Linked DNA regions of Stegostoma tigrinum. The protein of the gene in region 2 interacts with the protein of the main gene of each other region in a pairwise test. Links are inferred from orthologs where the notes say so. Each region holds a gene or a part of one and is shown on either strand. Other genes may lie near its edges.

Region 1 (7,095 bases), on a different chromosome or scaffold from region 2:
GCCAAATGCTGTCCTGAGAAGACAAGTACAAACAAGACATTTACTTTATGATTTTATTAAAAATTACATTTACAAATCTACAATAGCTAATGCTATATTACAAGCTTTTTGCAGTTCTACTACTTTTGGCTTTCCTAACTTCTTCAATCAAGTCTTTTAAATATTGAATTTCTTTTGTTAATGAGTCAGCTTTCTCTTGCAAGGTTTTATTTTTCTCTTCCAGTAAGCTACATTCTGCAAGTATGGCACCATGCTCTGCTCTCTTCTTTTGCCTGTACCGTGTCGCTGCACTTTTGTTCTGCTCCATCTTCTTCAACTTTTTCTCCAGACCTCTTGACTCCACACTAACTTTTACTTTTGACAAATTGCCTACATTTTCTGTACTGGGACGATCATATGGTTTTGGCCTAATAGGACTTGAGTCATCTGATGACAAGCCACTAGTTTGTGGTGACCCTTCTGACATATTTTTGTCAGATGATTCAGCAGGAGAGTGTGGGGGACTAGTCCCAACTCCACTGTCAGAATCCCGCATTAGCCTGTCATCCTCCTCTTTGACAGAGTCCTGCAGGGGCGGAGGAAATTCCTCACATGAAACTCCAGTCTCATTCTCCAGGAAGTGTAACAAGTGATCAGGGGTTGGGATTAAAGATTCTGGGGTAATGGTTGGGGTACTAGGAGCCAGCTGATCTGACCCAGGGGGTGAATTTGGAAATGGCCTGTGATCAGAACTCAAACCAAGGTCAGCTACTTGTAGTTTAGCTGGCAAAGGATCAAAAGGCAATTCTTCCAGAACACAGGAACTGTCCAAGACAGCCAACAGCTCCTCTGAGGAGGGAGAGCCATTTTCACCCATGAACAAATTGTCAAAGAGATCAGTCTTCTCCATCCAGTCGAAGCCGGTGAACGCATCCTCTGTAAAAACAAGGGGAGGGGGAAGATTAAGTCAACATTATTCACATAAAAAATCCACTACAGAACACAGGACAGCAAAAACGACAGGACCGAGAGTCTCAATACAAACAGAACTAAACAGGAAGTTACCCAAGAAGAAACACAGAAGTTGCTGAAGAAGGGTCACCAGACCAGTAACATTAACTTTTTTTTCTTCACAGATGCGGCCAGACTTGCTGAGCTTTTCCAGCAACTTGTCTTTGTCTCCGATTTACAGCATCCACAGTACTTTCAATTTTTATTTAGGAAATTACCTAAAAAAGTTCAGCTCCACATTACGAGATAATGTATGACAAAGCACAGGCTGTGTTGTCATCAGGTGCTGAAACAGCAGAGCTGAAAGTGGAGCCTTACAGATGTTCAGAGATGTTTTCAACTTTTAATACTGGCTACCGAGCATTAATGTGTAATTGAAGTGCATCACCTACATTGGTTTGTCAACTAATTCAAAAGTGAGTCAACCACCCACTACAATCAGCTGCTACTCAAGCATCACAATCGATTGTTCTTAACTTACCCACAGTATCATCGGTGTCCAGTAACTTGTCAACACACGTGATCAGGGAGGACACATCGCTTTCCTCATTGCCATCAAACAGGAGTGGTCTGAGGTACGATTTCACCGGCCCGGCCTCCGCCAGGTCTGTGTGCAGGAGACACGGGTCCCCTTCAGCCGTCAGAAACGGCGAACTCGGGGACATCATGAAGTCCTCCATCAGGGAAGAGAAAGAATCTGGCCAATCTGAAGTCATCTGACTGTATTTTTGAACTGAGATACTCTTCAAGGAAAAACAAAGTCTTCAAGTCGAGTGTTACTATGCTGTCGACTACAGCAAAGCTGAGAAGCCCATTGTGGAGCCTGGGAATAAAACAGGATATCATTCATTTTCCATGCATTTAACTCTGGCATAGCAGCATTCAAGAAAAACTGCACAACAAAAAAACTTGCACGTCAACACAAGACATTTGAATTCAATTTCAGACAACCCAAATGATTGCCCAGAGCATATTGGGGAAGCGGAAGGAAGATTGAGACTCAACAGACGAATTGCCAGCAGGCACAAGTACGGAATTTTAAGTGCTGACACATCAAATTACTACTGAATAGTAAAGAAAACTGTAGGAGAGCTTAAAAAGGGGCAGATGCGCAATTTGAAAGCCTGGTGGGAGAAATGTAGATAAGGCACTGGGTGTCCCACTAAAGAGTTAACTAGGATCTTCAAACCACACCCTGGAACAGATGGCGGAAGGACAAGAGCAACTGGGTGTCTCCTTCGTGACTCTGCCACGTTTAAGCATGAAGACAAGCCACCATCTTCACCCAGTCACAAACAACCCGCTGGCGCCAGTGAGGATACCTGAACATCTCACCTAACCCAGCCCCAAGAGACATAACATTTATTAAAGAAGGGAATAGAGAGAAATATAGCGCCAGGAGGGTTAACTATTCCAAAGATGGAAGTGCCTTAGCACATCGACTGATCAACCCAAAACATGCCCAGAGACATCTTTGCCAACCACCAAAGATTTCAAAAATGAAGCACTTCAAAACCGGGGGCATACGATTAAGGAAAATATGTCGCGTTATTAATGTATTGAGCTCTGGTTTTGGTGGTGGGGGAAGGAAACCGGCCCTTCCGATTAATGTCCGGAAAATAACACAAAACACGATCGGGTGTTTACATTTTAGGCGGATTGTATCGCGTTTGTTCACGAACTGTTCCGGTGTAACCGATTTCATTGAAATCCCCAACGCCCACTGAGGCCTCTTCGGGCCACGAGGCAGAAGAGGATAAAATGGCGGGACCCCATGTATTAAAAAGGCGGGATCTTCCGGGGTTTTATTTTATTCGGCGAGGGCGTGAAAAAGGATGACTTACGCCATTTTTGAAGCTGGTGCGTGCTGTTGTTGCCCAGTGCACTGCACTGATGCGTCGCTGCCGCTGCTGCCTGTCTATTGAGCCGCCATGCCGAACCCCGGGCGGATCGGACTCGGAGAAAGAGTGCGAAACTTCCTCCGTTTAATCATCTGCGAGCCGCGGAATACGGCAGCGAGCCTGCAGCAGGCATTTAAATAGCCTCGGCCTCACCTCTCCCCTAATGCCTCTGCTCCCTCCGCCCACGTGACGTCATCACAAAATAGACCCCATTCCGCTCGCAGGCTAGCGGGAAGAAATGAGCTTTAAATCATCGGCGTTTGCGGCTGATTTTTCTTTAGTCTCGACTTATGGCGTCGAGCAGAGGGCATTGTATTTATTTTTTGCGGTGGGTTGTCTATTTTTTTTGGAAAAGCAGAAACGGGGCTTGTGAGAAGCGAGGACGGTGGCCGGTCCTACTTGCGATCACGCGCTCGGCTGTTCGGGAGGCGCTTTCTGGTTGGTCCGTTCACGTGATGGGATGATGCTGATTGGCAGAGCGGCGGTCAATGGCACGCCCCGAACCAAACCACGTGGGTTAATTGTTGGGGAGGAGGGGGAAGTTGGTATCATGGTGGGTGTTGTTACTTTTTAATGGAGATGCTGCCATAAATCATAAGTGAACCATAAGGTACAGATTAAAACTTCGAAAGGCAGGGAATGAGGATTTGAACGGCGCAAATATTTGCACTGTGGAAGAGGAACTAGCTGGGTAACTCCGAGGGCTAGCACAGCCACAATGGGCTGAATGGCTTTTACTTTGTACCCTCTGTAATTCTACCTCGGAAATATAGGTTATGAATGGGCTACTTGGCTCTGTCAGTCTGATAATCAAGGGTTATTGGTGTCATAGAGCTGTACAGCATACATTCTTTTTGGTCCAACTTGTCTATGCTGACCAGATATCCTAAATAAATCTAGTCCCACTTGCCAGCATTTGGTCCATATTCCTCATAAACCCTTCCTATTCACGTACCTATCCAGATGCCTTCTACCGTAAGATGTCAGAGCAAAGTAGGCCATTCAGCCATTGAGCCTGCACCACTGCTGCCCCCCTCCATCCTTGCTGCCACAAGTTGAGATGGACAATGTACATTTACTTTATAAGAAAGCTAACTACGTATACAAGATAGAAAGAAGCCCAAGGATATGTTGCAAGAGCATGATAAGTGGTGGGCGGAGGCTCACGTTGTGCTTAAACTCTGCATGGATCTATTAAAAGCCACAAGGCCTACTTGAATGTTGTAGTTTCAATGTAACAACCACGTTGCTGTTTCTGGGATCTTGTTGTGTGCGCATTGGCTGCTGTGTTTTTCAAATAGGTGTCTACCCCTCTTCCCCCGCCCCCCCCCCCCCCCCCCCCCCGCCACTTCCAAAGCTAAGCAACTCAAACTTTCGCTAAGTCCCACTCACTCATACTTGCATTGCTATGCTTTGATTCCCAGTTTATTGATACCTCAAATTTTCCATGTGTTTAATTTATTTCTGCTGCCTTCCTATCTCTGGGTAGGAGATGAAGGTTATCCTGATACAGTCAGTTAAAGTCAGATGAGAGGAGGTTTGTGTGAACGTCAACCAGTTGGGAGCAGGCCATTTCATCTGTGTTTTAATGTTTGATGTACTGTCTTTGTAGTCACTTTGTAAGAGAATTAGAACTCATGATGAAAACATGAATTCATTTACTATAAGGGAAGTTTCAGCATTGTTAAGTAATTGATGGAAATCAGGTCAGGCACATTAGCTGCAAGGATAATTAAAATGGTGGATAATCTTCATCAGGTCTGTTGAGATTAAAGATTTAATTCTGTATCTGTAGCTGCACTCTTAGGAAAAAAAATCTTTCAGACAACATTGCGCTGATTTGACTCTCAAACTTGAATTGCAGTGAAAACCATCATTTATGTGTAAGAAAATCCTGCGTGTCCTGCTGTATTTATAATAATGCCACATTAACCTGTGTAGCCATTACCTGACAAACCAGAATGGGCAAATGGGGGCTTGAATTTAATACTTCAACCAAAACATCGACAGTAGACCCCACCATTATTAAATCTGCCTTCAAGCTGTGAATTTATTCCTCACGTGCACACTAGTGCATTTCTGTACATGTGGCATTTGTGAGTGTGCTGACAATCTGCTGGATCGATGCTTAAACCTCTCAACTTTCTCCGTGACTTGGCAAGCAGCATGTTATTCTGTGAAGCATGTCCACGTTTCGTTTCCATGGAAGCTGTTCTATGATGATTAAACCCCATTTAAAGAGCAGTTAAATATTTCCATTAACAGCATCTGGGCTTCTGCACTGTGTTATTTACTTGGTATGTGGCAGGCAAAATAATTAGTATGACTGAAAGTGACGACAATGGTGCATCAAGAGGATTAAAGAAATCTAGATCTAATTACCAAGTGCTTCAAGCCCCAATCCAAAACATGAATCGTAATGATAATCTGTAGAGTATAAAACTTCCCTTTCATTTGAATTCTAACTTTAAATAGTCATATAAATATTCAGAACATGTATGTGATATGGGTTAAAATAGAACTAAGAGCTGTGGATCCTGGAGTTCTGAAACAAAAACAGAAATTGCTGTAGAAACTTAACAGGTCTGGCAACATCGGTGGGGAGAAAGCAGAGTTAATGTTTCAAGTTCGGTGACGCTTCATCAACTTGCGTCTGGCATTCCCCCTGAGGGAATGCGGCTGTGTTCGAGAAGCTGTTTTTCAGGGGATGAGCTATTAAACCAAGACTCCTGCCTTCCCCCTCAGGTAGGCATAAATTAGCCCACTTTTCCCCAGACCCCTGGCCATTACTTATCCTCCAACTAACATCCTCCAACTAACATCATTAAAATGGCTGTCACTTTATTCTTTCATTTATAACCAACTTGTTCTGACCCACCTCTGGGAAAGGTGGGACTTGGACCCAGACCTTCCACGTAGGGACAACACTACTGTACTACAAATCTCCCTTTTACTACAAGTGCTATTCCCAAGCATTTTCCCCTTCAAAGGAACACTAGGCCTGATTATAGCCTTCAAGATCAGACTGGTGTGGCTAAGGGAAGGACTTTCTTAATCAAACTGTTGGGACATGTAATGATGCCAGGACAAACTTGAGTGCAAATCTTCTGGCTTTGAGGAACAGAAACTACCGGTGTGAAATAAGACCATGAAGACGTAGGAGCAGAGTTAGACCATTTGGTTACCTATTCAATCAGATCATGGCTGATCTGATAATCCTCAATGCCACTTTCCAGCCTTTTCCCCCAAAATCTCAATTCTCTTACTGGTTAAAAATCTATCTCAGCCTTGAATGAACTTGACAACCGAACCTCAACAGCCCTTGATGGTAGAGAATTCCATAGAGATGAAATTCCTCCTCCTCTCTGTCTTAAATAGGTGGCTCCTCATTCTAAGATTAGGCCCTCTGGTCTCAGCCTTTCCCACAAGGGGGAAACAATATCTCCACTTCTATCCTGTCAAGCCCACTTAGAGGGAGATGTTTTCTTTTAGAAACCTATTTTGGCATGTTCTGAAACACCTCTTAAGGAATGTGGCACTTAACCGTAGAATAACTGGCTCAGTAATAGGGATTCTACCCTTGTGTTGCTTAATACATCACAATATTGGCTACATTTCAAAAGTACTTAATTAGTTACTAAGCAGCACAGTGACATCCTGGAAGGCAGGATTTAATGACAGCCTTTCTTTCTGACTCTGTGCCTCCAAAGAAAAACGCAGCAGGACGGAAAGAAGGCAGATTTAATGGGCTACGCTTTCAAGTTTGCAAATTCATCTGTGGCACTGGCAGAGTATCCTGGACGACTGAGAGGAACAATTTTTTTTGTCGCTGTAGATCACGTAGATGTGTATCTGGCCACAAATAAAATTTAAAATGCTGCCATTGAGTTGAATCCATTGATTTGAAGAGAGTTTGATTTTCTGACAGCTAAGAAAATGGCAAAGAAAAGTTATTTCCAAATCTTCTAGTTCACACACTTAGTACAAAGGGACATATCAGGCCTTAGACTTAATGACCACTGATTACTGAAGGCGGTGAAAAAGACATTTGAGGATGGCTCCCTTTATTCAATCAGGCACAGATTCTAAGAGCTGAGAGATAATGTGAGAACTGGATAAAACATTGCTGGAAAACCACACACAGTTCTTGTCACCACATTGCGGGAACCATTGCAGTCCATTTGGTGTAGAGTCACGCACAATA
Region 2 (7,453 bases):
TGCAAAATTAGACATTTATTTCAGTTCCTATGAATAGTCTGATTTCAAGAACTGGAGCCTGGCCTTGAAATGGTGTTGCCTGCAGTATATGCTGGGGCAGGCAATGGCCTAGTGGTATTATCGCTGGACTGTTAATCCAGAGACCCCGATAAGGTTCTGGGACTCAGGTTCGAATCCTGCCACAGCAGATGGTGGAATTTGAATTCAATAAATATCTGGAATTAACAGTCTAATGATGGCCAAGAATCCATTGCCAATTGTCAGGAAAAACCCATCTGGTTGTCCTTTAGGGAAGGAAATTGTCGTCCTTACCTGGTCTGGTCTACATGTGACTCCAGACTCACAGCAATCTGGTTGACTCTGGGCAATCAGGAATTGCAATAAATACTGTCTAGCCTGCAATGCCCTCATCCCGTGAATGAATAAAGGAAAAAAATACTTCAAGATATGTTTCATTAGTTTCTAGAGCAAATAATTTTCACCTAACATCTATACTGTGTACAATGTCACCTAACTTTGTATCATCAAATTTGCATATGCCTTTCTAAACCATTAGTCAAGAAATTCGTCCTTATCTCTGTGACCTCTTATTCTGAAATAATGTTCTCTGGTCCTATCCTCTACTATAAGGAGAACATCCTTTCCATATCAAATCCTCTAAGAATCTTGTATATTGTAATAAAGTCTCCTACCATTCATCAAAATTCAAATGAATACAGGCCCAACCTCTCCCCATAAAACAGTCCCTCCACATCTGACATCAGCCTAGTGAACTTTCCCTGGACTACCTGCAATGCCAGTATATCTTTCCTTAGGTGAGGGGTCCAAAACTGTTTACATTAATCCATCTGTGGCCTGACCAGTGGAGAAGGTTTACTGCATTCTCTTTGAAATAAAGGTTGACATTCTATTTACCTTCACACTTACACACTGAATTTGAATGCTAGCTTTTTATGATTCTTGGATAAGAACTCCCAAATCCCTGTGTAGTCCTTCTGCAGTCTTTTTCTATTTAAAATGATACTCTGGTCCTCTACTGTCCTTGCCAAAGGGTAGAATATCACATATAATCTCAATCTCATATCATGACTCTGGGTCATTTTTTCCACTTGTTTTCCAACGTATTTTTCTGTCATCCACAAGTTTTCCTCATTCAAGTCAATAAGATAGAAATAACATCTGCACTGATGGTATAACGGACAATAAAAAAAAGGTTATCTCAGAGTACAACGGGACCTTGATGAGGTGGGCCGAGGAGAGGCAGATGAAGTTGAATTTAGGTGAATGTGAGGTGTTGCATTTTAGTAAGGCAAATTAGGGCTGGACTTATGCACCTTTGTAGGGTGCTGGGAAGTGCTGCTCAACCAAAGAGACCTTGGGATGCAGGGTCGTAGATCCTCGAAGGTGGAGTCACAGGTAGACAGGGTAGTGGCCTTTGGTACACTTGCCTTTGTTAGTCAGTCCATTGAGTATGAGAGGTGGGATACAGCTGTACAGGACATTGGTTGTACCACTTTAATACTGCATTCAATTCTGGTCTCCCCACTATAGGAAAGATGTTATTAAACATGAAAAGGTGCAGAAAAGGTTTGTATGGATGTTGCAGGGGTAGGAGGGTTTGCACCACAGGGAGAGACTGAACAGGCTGGGCCTATTTTCCCTCGAGCATCGGAGGCTTAGGGGTGAACTTATAGAGGTTTATGAAATCATGAGCAGCACGGACAGAATAGCCAAGGCATCCTCCTCTCCCCATAACAGTAGGGGAGTCCAAAACTACAGGGCATACGTTTAAGGTGACAGTGGAAGGATTTCAAACAGACCTAAGGGGGCAACTTTTTTTACACAGGTGGTGCACATATGGTAATAGCTGCCACAGGAGGTGCAGGAGGCCATTACAATTACAACATTTAAAACGGCACCTGAATGGGTATATGAAGAGGGGAAGAGTCTACAGGAATATGGGCCATATTCTGGCAAATTGGACTGGCTTAATTTAGGATATACAGTCAGCATAGACAAGTTAGACTGAAGCGTCTGTTTCCATGCTGTACAACTCTGTGGCTCTATTTACAAACTAGCTGCAGTGAATCTGGCTTTTGGTTGAGTCATAGTAAGTCAGCTGACTGTACAATTTTGAACAGACCTACGAAGTACAGTTTCAGAGACTGAAACTCTGCAGGATTTATCAGTGGAAACCTGATACGGGATTTTCAGGAAGCATTTGATACAGTGACTATTACACAAGATTATGAACAACATACTCATACAGACGTACATTTAGTTAACAAACAGAAAAATCCTGGAACTTACTGTATGCAATTTTGCTGGTGCTTTCCACGTTGTTATCATGCACTTTAATTTTTGTAAAGCGCTTTGGAATGTTACGAAATGCGCTGTATAACGAAACACAAATTCTGACTATCTTCAAAAGATAAGTCACTTATTTCCGAGGCCTTTCATGAACTCAGAATTTCTCGAAGTGCTCTGGAGATAATGAAGTACTTTTCGAGGTCTATTTATTGCTGTAGGGAACAATTTCTGTTTAACAAAGTCCCCATAACAATAATTCATAAAGTTCAGATTAGAGGCTTAATAAGGCCCAAGGAAATGGTGCTGTCTGAAAGATAAATAAGAATATTGTCCAGGGCTGGGGCGGAGGAATCAGCTGCATTTAACGGGAATACTCCTGAGATCTTTCACCGCGCCTGACGGGGCCTCAATGGAACCAGAGCCTCACTCACCGAGAGCAGCGGACCCAGAGTCAACCAGTACCCTCCAACCTAACACCGCACTCCAATCCGTTACCCTCTCTCCCAAGTAAAACGTCTTCGTGTCGGCCTTAAAGCGATTTCTCACCCAGACCTGCCTCCTCTCCGGGCTGACTGTCGCCTTCAATCCGAGACCAAGCCGTTGAGGCCTGAAAGCCTTTGCTGACGTCGCCAATGGAACAGGAAAGACGCCATCTTGAGAAGGTCACCCTGCTCAGGGTGAGGGGTCAGCTCAGTGATGTCATATACACTAGCAGCCACTGATTGGTCGAACAGCCCAAAGGGACGGTCATGGGTTTACATCACACCGGGCTGTTGACATCATTCCCTCCGCGTTGGCCGGAAATTGTTTAGAACGTCATCACGCAGGCACTTCCTGCTGCCGCTTCCGTTAGAAACTACTAGTCGCCGCGAGCTCCCAGCCAGGAACTGCCAGAGTGGAGCCATCAAGCCCAGCCTGTGGCATTGTCAGAGCCAGACTCTGTACCTGAGTCGTTAGCGCTAAAGCCAGACTTCGGACCGGCAGATCCTGAGCACCAGCTCCTGATCCGCGACACCAGCCATCAAACCCCCGGGCCCGTACCCGGAAACGCAGGGCGCTGACCTCTGAGGCCTCGAATTGCCGTGCCTTGACCCAGACGCCGAACTTCGATTCTGGGCCCACCCGCTCCTCTCCTGGAACCATGGGGATCACCCTGTCGAAAGTGTTTGACCGGCTCTTTTCGAGGAAGCAGATGAGAATCCTGATGGGTAAGTGCCCTGTAATCGTGGTTCAAGCCAAGGACTGTCGGATAACCGGCTGTAGCTCAATTAGAGTCACAGAGCTGTACAGCATGGCAACAGACCCTTCGGTCCAACTTGTTCATGCCGACCCGATATCCTAAATTAACCTAGTCTCATTTGTCAGCATTTGGCCATATCCTTCTACACCCTTCCTATTCATATATCAATCCAGATACCTTTTAAATGTTGTAATAGTGCCAGCCGCCACTACTTCCTCTGGCAGTTCATTCCATACACGCACCACCCTCTGCATAGAAAAGTTCCCCTTAGGTCCCTTGTAAAATCTTTCCCCTCTCACTTTTAACCTCTGCCCTCTAGTTTTGGATTCCCTACCCCTGGCAAAAAGACCATGGCTATTCACCCTGTTTCTGCCCCATATAATCTTATAAACCTTGATAAGGTCACCTCTCAGCCTCTGACTCTCCAGGGAAAATAGCCCCAGCCTGTTTAGTGTCTTTGTATAGTTCAAATCCTCCAATCTTGGTAACTTCCTTGTAAAGGATCAAAAAAAAAAGAAGCTGGAAAAGTGCAGCAGGACTTGAAAAAGGATTCTGACTCAAAAAGGTGACTTTTCTGCTCCTTAGATGCTGTCTGAGCTGCTGTGCTTTTCCAACTTGTTTTTAAACTCTAGCTTTGAGCATCTGCAGTCCTTTCTATCTCCAACATTCTTGTAAAGCTTTTCTGAACCCTTTCAGGTTTCACAATATGAGACTGGTACGTATAATCCTGTTGCGTTTGTAATGAGTTTGAAGGAAATGAGTGAATGATAATACTGAGGCTTGTAAGAAATTTCATACTGGGAGGGTGCTGTTGAATGTTTAGTTTGTGATCTGTCTTTATCTCTATAAATACTTATTTGGTTTTAATGTTTTTTTGGTATATGTAATCCTAGTGTTGGATTTAACCTCTAATATTGTTGGTTTTAGATTATTGTTTCTCATCAGCCCTAAGAACAGTTTCTGTGAAATGTCTGGGGAGTTCATGTCCTGAATCATAACTTGCCATCACCTTCTGGTTTGCCCATGCTGTTTCTCATTCATTTACAGTAAAAGCCATTTGAGCATTGCCATAGAAGCCCAGCAGTGCAGATAGAGACCATTCAGCCCATTATGAGTCTGCACTGACCCCACACATCCCTGAAAACTATAGGGTAATTTAACACGGCCAGTGCACCAAATCTGCACATCTTTGGACTGTGGGAGGAAACTGGATCATTTAGCAGAAACCCACGCAGACAGAAGGAGAAGTGCAAACTCCACACAGACATTTGCCCAAGTCTGGAATCAAGCCCAAGTCCATGGCACTATGAGGCAGCTGTACTAATCGCTGTGAGTTTACGATGGCTGATTGATTAAAAGGATTTTTTAAATCCAGTTTTCAAATTACTGTTTAAAATGCTGCAGTGCATTCCAGATCATGAAGGAAGGCTGTCACCTCCTGTTGCAGTGGATTCTTTTCACAGTTGCCTTAAATCTATTCTCAAATCAGCCTTTTGGCCACTGAAACAGTTTTATCCTATTAATTATAAAAATAATTCATAATATTTTAATCCCTTTGCTGAACCTCCCATTTTCTGGTCAAGAGAGAACAAGTTAATTTCTCGATGTTTATATGTAATCAAAACCCCTCGTTCCAGCTATGATTTGACTGCATTCCTCCTGCACCTTCTCGCAGTATTTGTAATTGGATACAATACACCAACCAAGCACAGCTAGTTTTTTCCAAAACATTTCCGTAGCTTCCTTGCTTTTGTCCTATTTCTGAATGCAATGATCCCCTGTGCATTTCCATCAGCGTACAAAACTTGCCATACCTCTATCAAAGACTTGTACCTACATTCTGCATTCCTGAGTCAGCTTGACAGCTGCATTAATTTGCTCATGTTTTTCCTTAAAGTTGTTAACTTCAATCTTCTCTGTTATATTGTATCTCCAATACAAAGACTCATTTCATCTGTTCGCATTCCTGAAACCTTTCTAATTAAAGTTACTGTTAAGTCCATCATGTCTTACCAACTTGATAGAATTCTTTGAGGAAGTGACAAAGTTGATAGATGAGGGAACGGCTGTAGATGCCATATACATGAACTTCAGTAAGGTGTTTGATAAGGTAACCAACGGTAGGCTGATGGAGAAAGTGAAGTTGCATGGGGTCCGGGGTGTACTAACTAGATGGATAGAGAACTGGCTGGGCAAAGGAGACAGAGAGTTGTAGTGGAAGGGAGTTTCTCAAAATGGAGAATTGTGACCAGTGATGTTCCACAGGTACCCGTATTCGGACCACTGTTGTTTGTGACATATGTAAATGATCTGGAGGAAGGTTTGGATGGTCTGATTAGCAAATTTGCAGATGACACTAAGATTGGTGGAGGAGCAGATAGTGAAGGGGACTGTCGGAGAGTGCAGCAGAATATAGATAGATTGGAGAGTTGGGTAGAGAAATGGCAGGTGGAGTTCAATCCAGGAAAATGCAAGGTGATGCATTTTGGAAAATCCCATTCAAGAGCGAACTGTACGGTAAATGGAAAAGCCCTGAGGAAAATTACACTGAGAGATCTGGATGTTCAGGTCTATTGAGTACAAGAGTTGGCAGGTCATGTTGCAGTTGTATAGGACCTTGGTTCAACCACATTTGGAATACTGCGTACAGTTCTGGTTGCCACATTACCAAAAGGATGTGGATGCTTTGGAGAGGGTGTGGAGGAGGTTCACCAGGATGTTGCCTGGTATGGAGGGCGCTAGCTATGAAGAGAGGTTGAGTAGATTAGGATTATTTACATTAGAAAGATGAGGTTGAGGGAGGACCTGACTGAAGTCTACAAAATCACGAGAGGTATAGGCAGAGTGGCTAGCAAGAAGCTTTTTCCCAGAATGGGGGAACTCAATTACCAGGGGTCACAATTTCAAGGTGAGAGCGGAAAGGTTTAAGGGAGATATGCGTGGAAATTTCTTTACGCAGAGAGTTGTGGGTGCCTGGAACGTGTTGCCAGTGGACGTGGTAGAGGTGGGCATGATAGCATCATTTTAAGATGTATCTGGATAGACACATGAATGGGCAGGGAGCAGAGGGATACAGATCCTTGAAAAATAGGCAACAGGTTTAGATAGAGGATCTGGATCAGTGCAGGCTTGGAGGGCTGAAGGGTTTGTTCCTGTGCTATAATTTTCTTTGCTCTTTGTTCTTTGTTCCTTGTTCCTATCAGGTGGTGCATTCTATGTCCTACTCATCATTGTGTAGAGAAAAGTTTATCCTTATGTAATTTGATTATTTGAACAATCATGTTAAATCAGTATCTTCTGATTATTTAGTTTTCTAGTGGGTACAATTTCTGATTTGAGCTGAGAACTCGCCATGATTTTAACAGCTGTTTGGTTTAGCAATGTCCTTTAGGGAAGGAAACTGCCATCCTTACCTGGTCTGGTCTGCAGGTGATTCCAGACCCAGAGCAATGTGGTTGACTCTTAACTGCCTTCTGGGCAATTAGGGATGGGCATTAAATGCTGATGTAGTTCAGTGGTGCCCTTATTTTGTGAATAATAATTTAAAAATTGCTTTAGCCTTTGACCAACGATAACCAACTCAACTTTTCTAGCCTGTCCACACAACTATAATTTCTCATTTCTGAAATTGCTCCAGTAATCCCTCCTATATCATCTCCAAAGCTTCAAGTCTTTCTTAAAGGATAGTGCCCAAACTTTTGCACAGTACTCCACTTAGGCTGTGTTTGTGTGTGTTACTCTGCCACATTTATGAAACTCAGAATGCAGTGTAGTTTATTGATTGCTGTTTAGCCTGCCCTGATACTTTCAAACATTTCTTGTTATGGATGAGACGCAGACCACTTCAAAATACTTTAAGTAGGTAGCCTAGATCCAACTTTTTCTTATTTCAAAGGCAACTGT

The links. The genes of interacting proteins can lie anywhere in the genome.
Region 1: the proteins of gcc1 (region 2) and atf4a interact in binary tests that used the Homo sapiens proteins (3 or more experiments, as listed by UniProt). The two-hybrid records come from large-scale screens. The link is inferred for Stegostoma tigrinum from reciprocal best matches to the Homo sapiens genes GCC1 and ATF4.

What each region holds. Positions count from the first base shown.
Region 1 is NC_081391.1:9,242,753-9,249,847, reverse strand, and holds atf4a (cyclic AMP-dependent transcription factor ATF-4), read right to left. Parts: upstream 3,010-7,095; 5' UTR 2,835-3,009; intron 1,814-2,834; 5' UTR 1,707-1,813; coding exon 1,472-1,706; intron 916-1,471; coding exon 98-915; 3' UTR 40-97; downstream 1-39. UniProt on the Homo sapiens protein: Transcription factor that binds the cAMP response element (CRE) (consensus: 5'-GTGACGT[AC][AG]-3') and displays two biological functions, as regulator of metabolic and redox processes under normal cellular conditions, and as master transcription factor during integrated stress response (ISR).
Region 2 is NC_081378.1:21,994,216-22,001,668, reverse strand, and holds the start of gcc1 (GRIP and coiled-coil domain-containing protein 1), read right to left. Parts: upstream 3,006-7,453; 5' UTR 2,863-3,005; exon of another isoform or gene 2,311-2,862; intron 1-2,310. Other genes in the region: uncharacterized protein LOC125463107, read left to right, coding at 3,452-3,518. UniProt on the Homo sapiens protein: Probably involved in maintaining Golgi structure.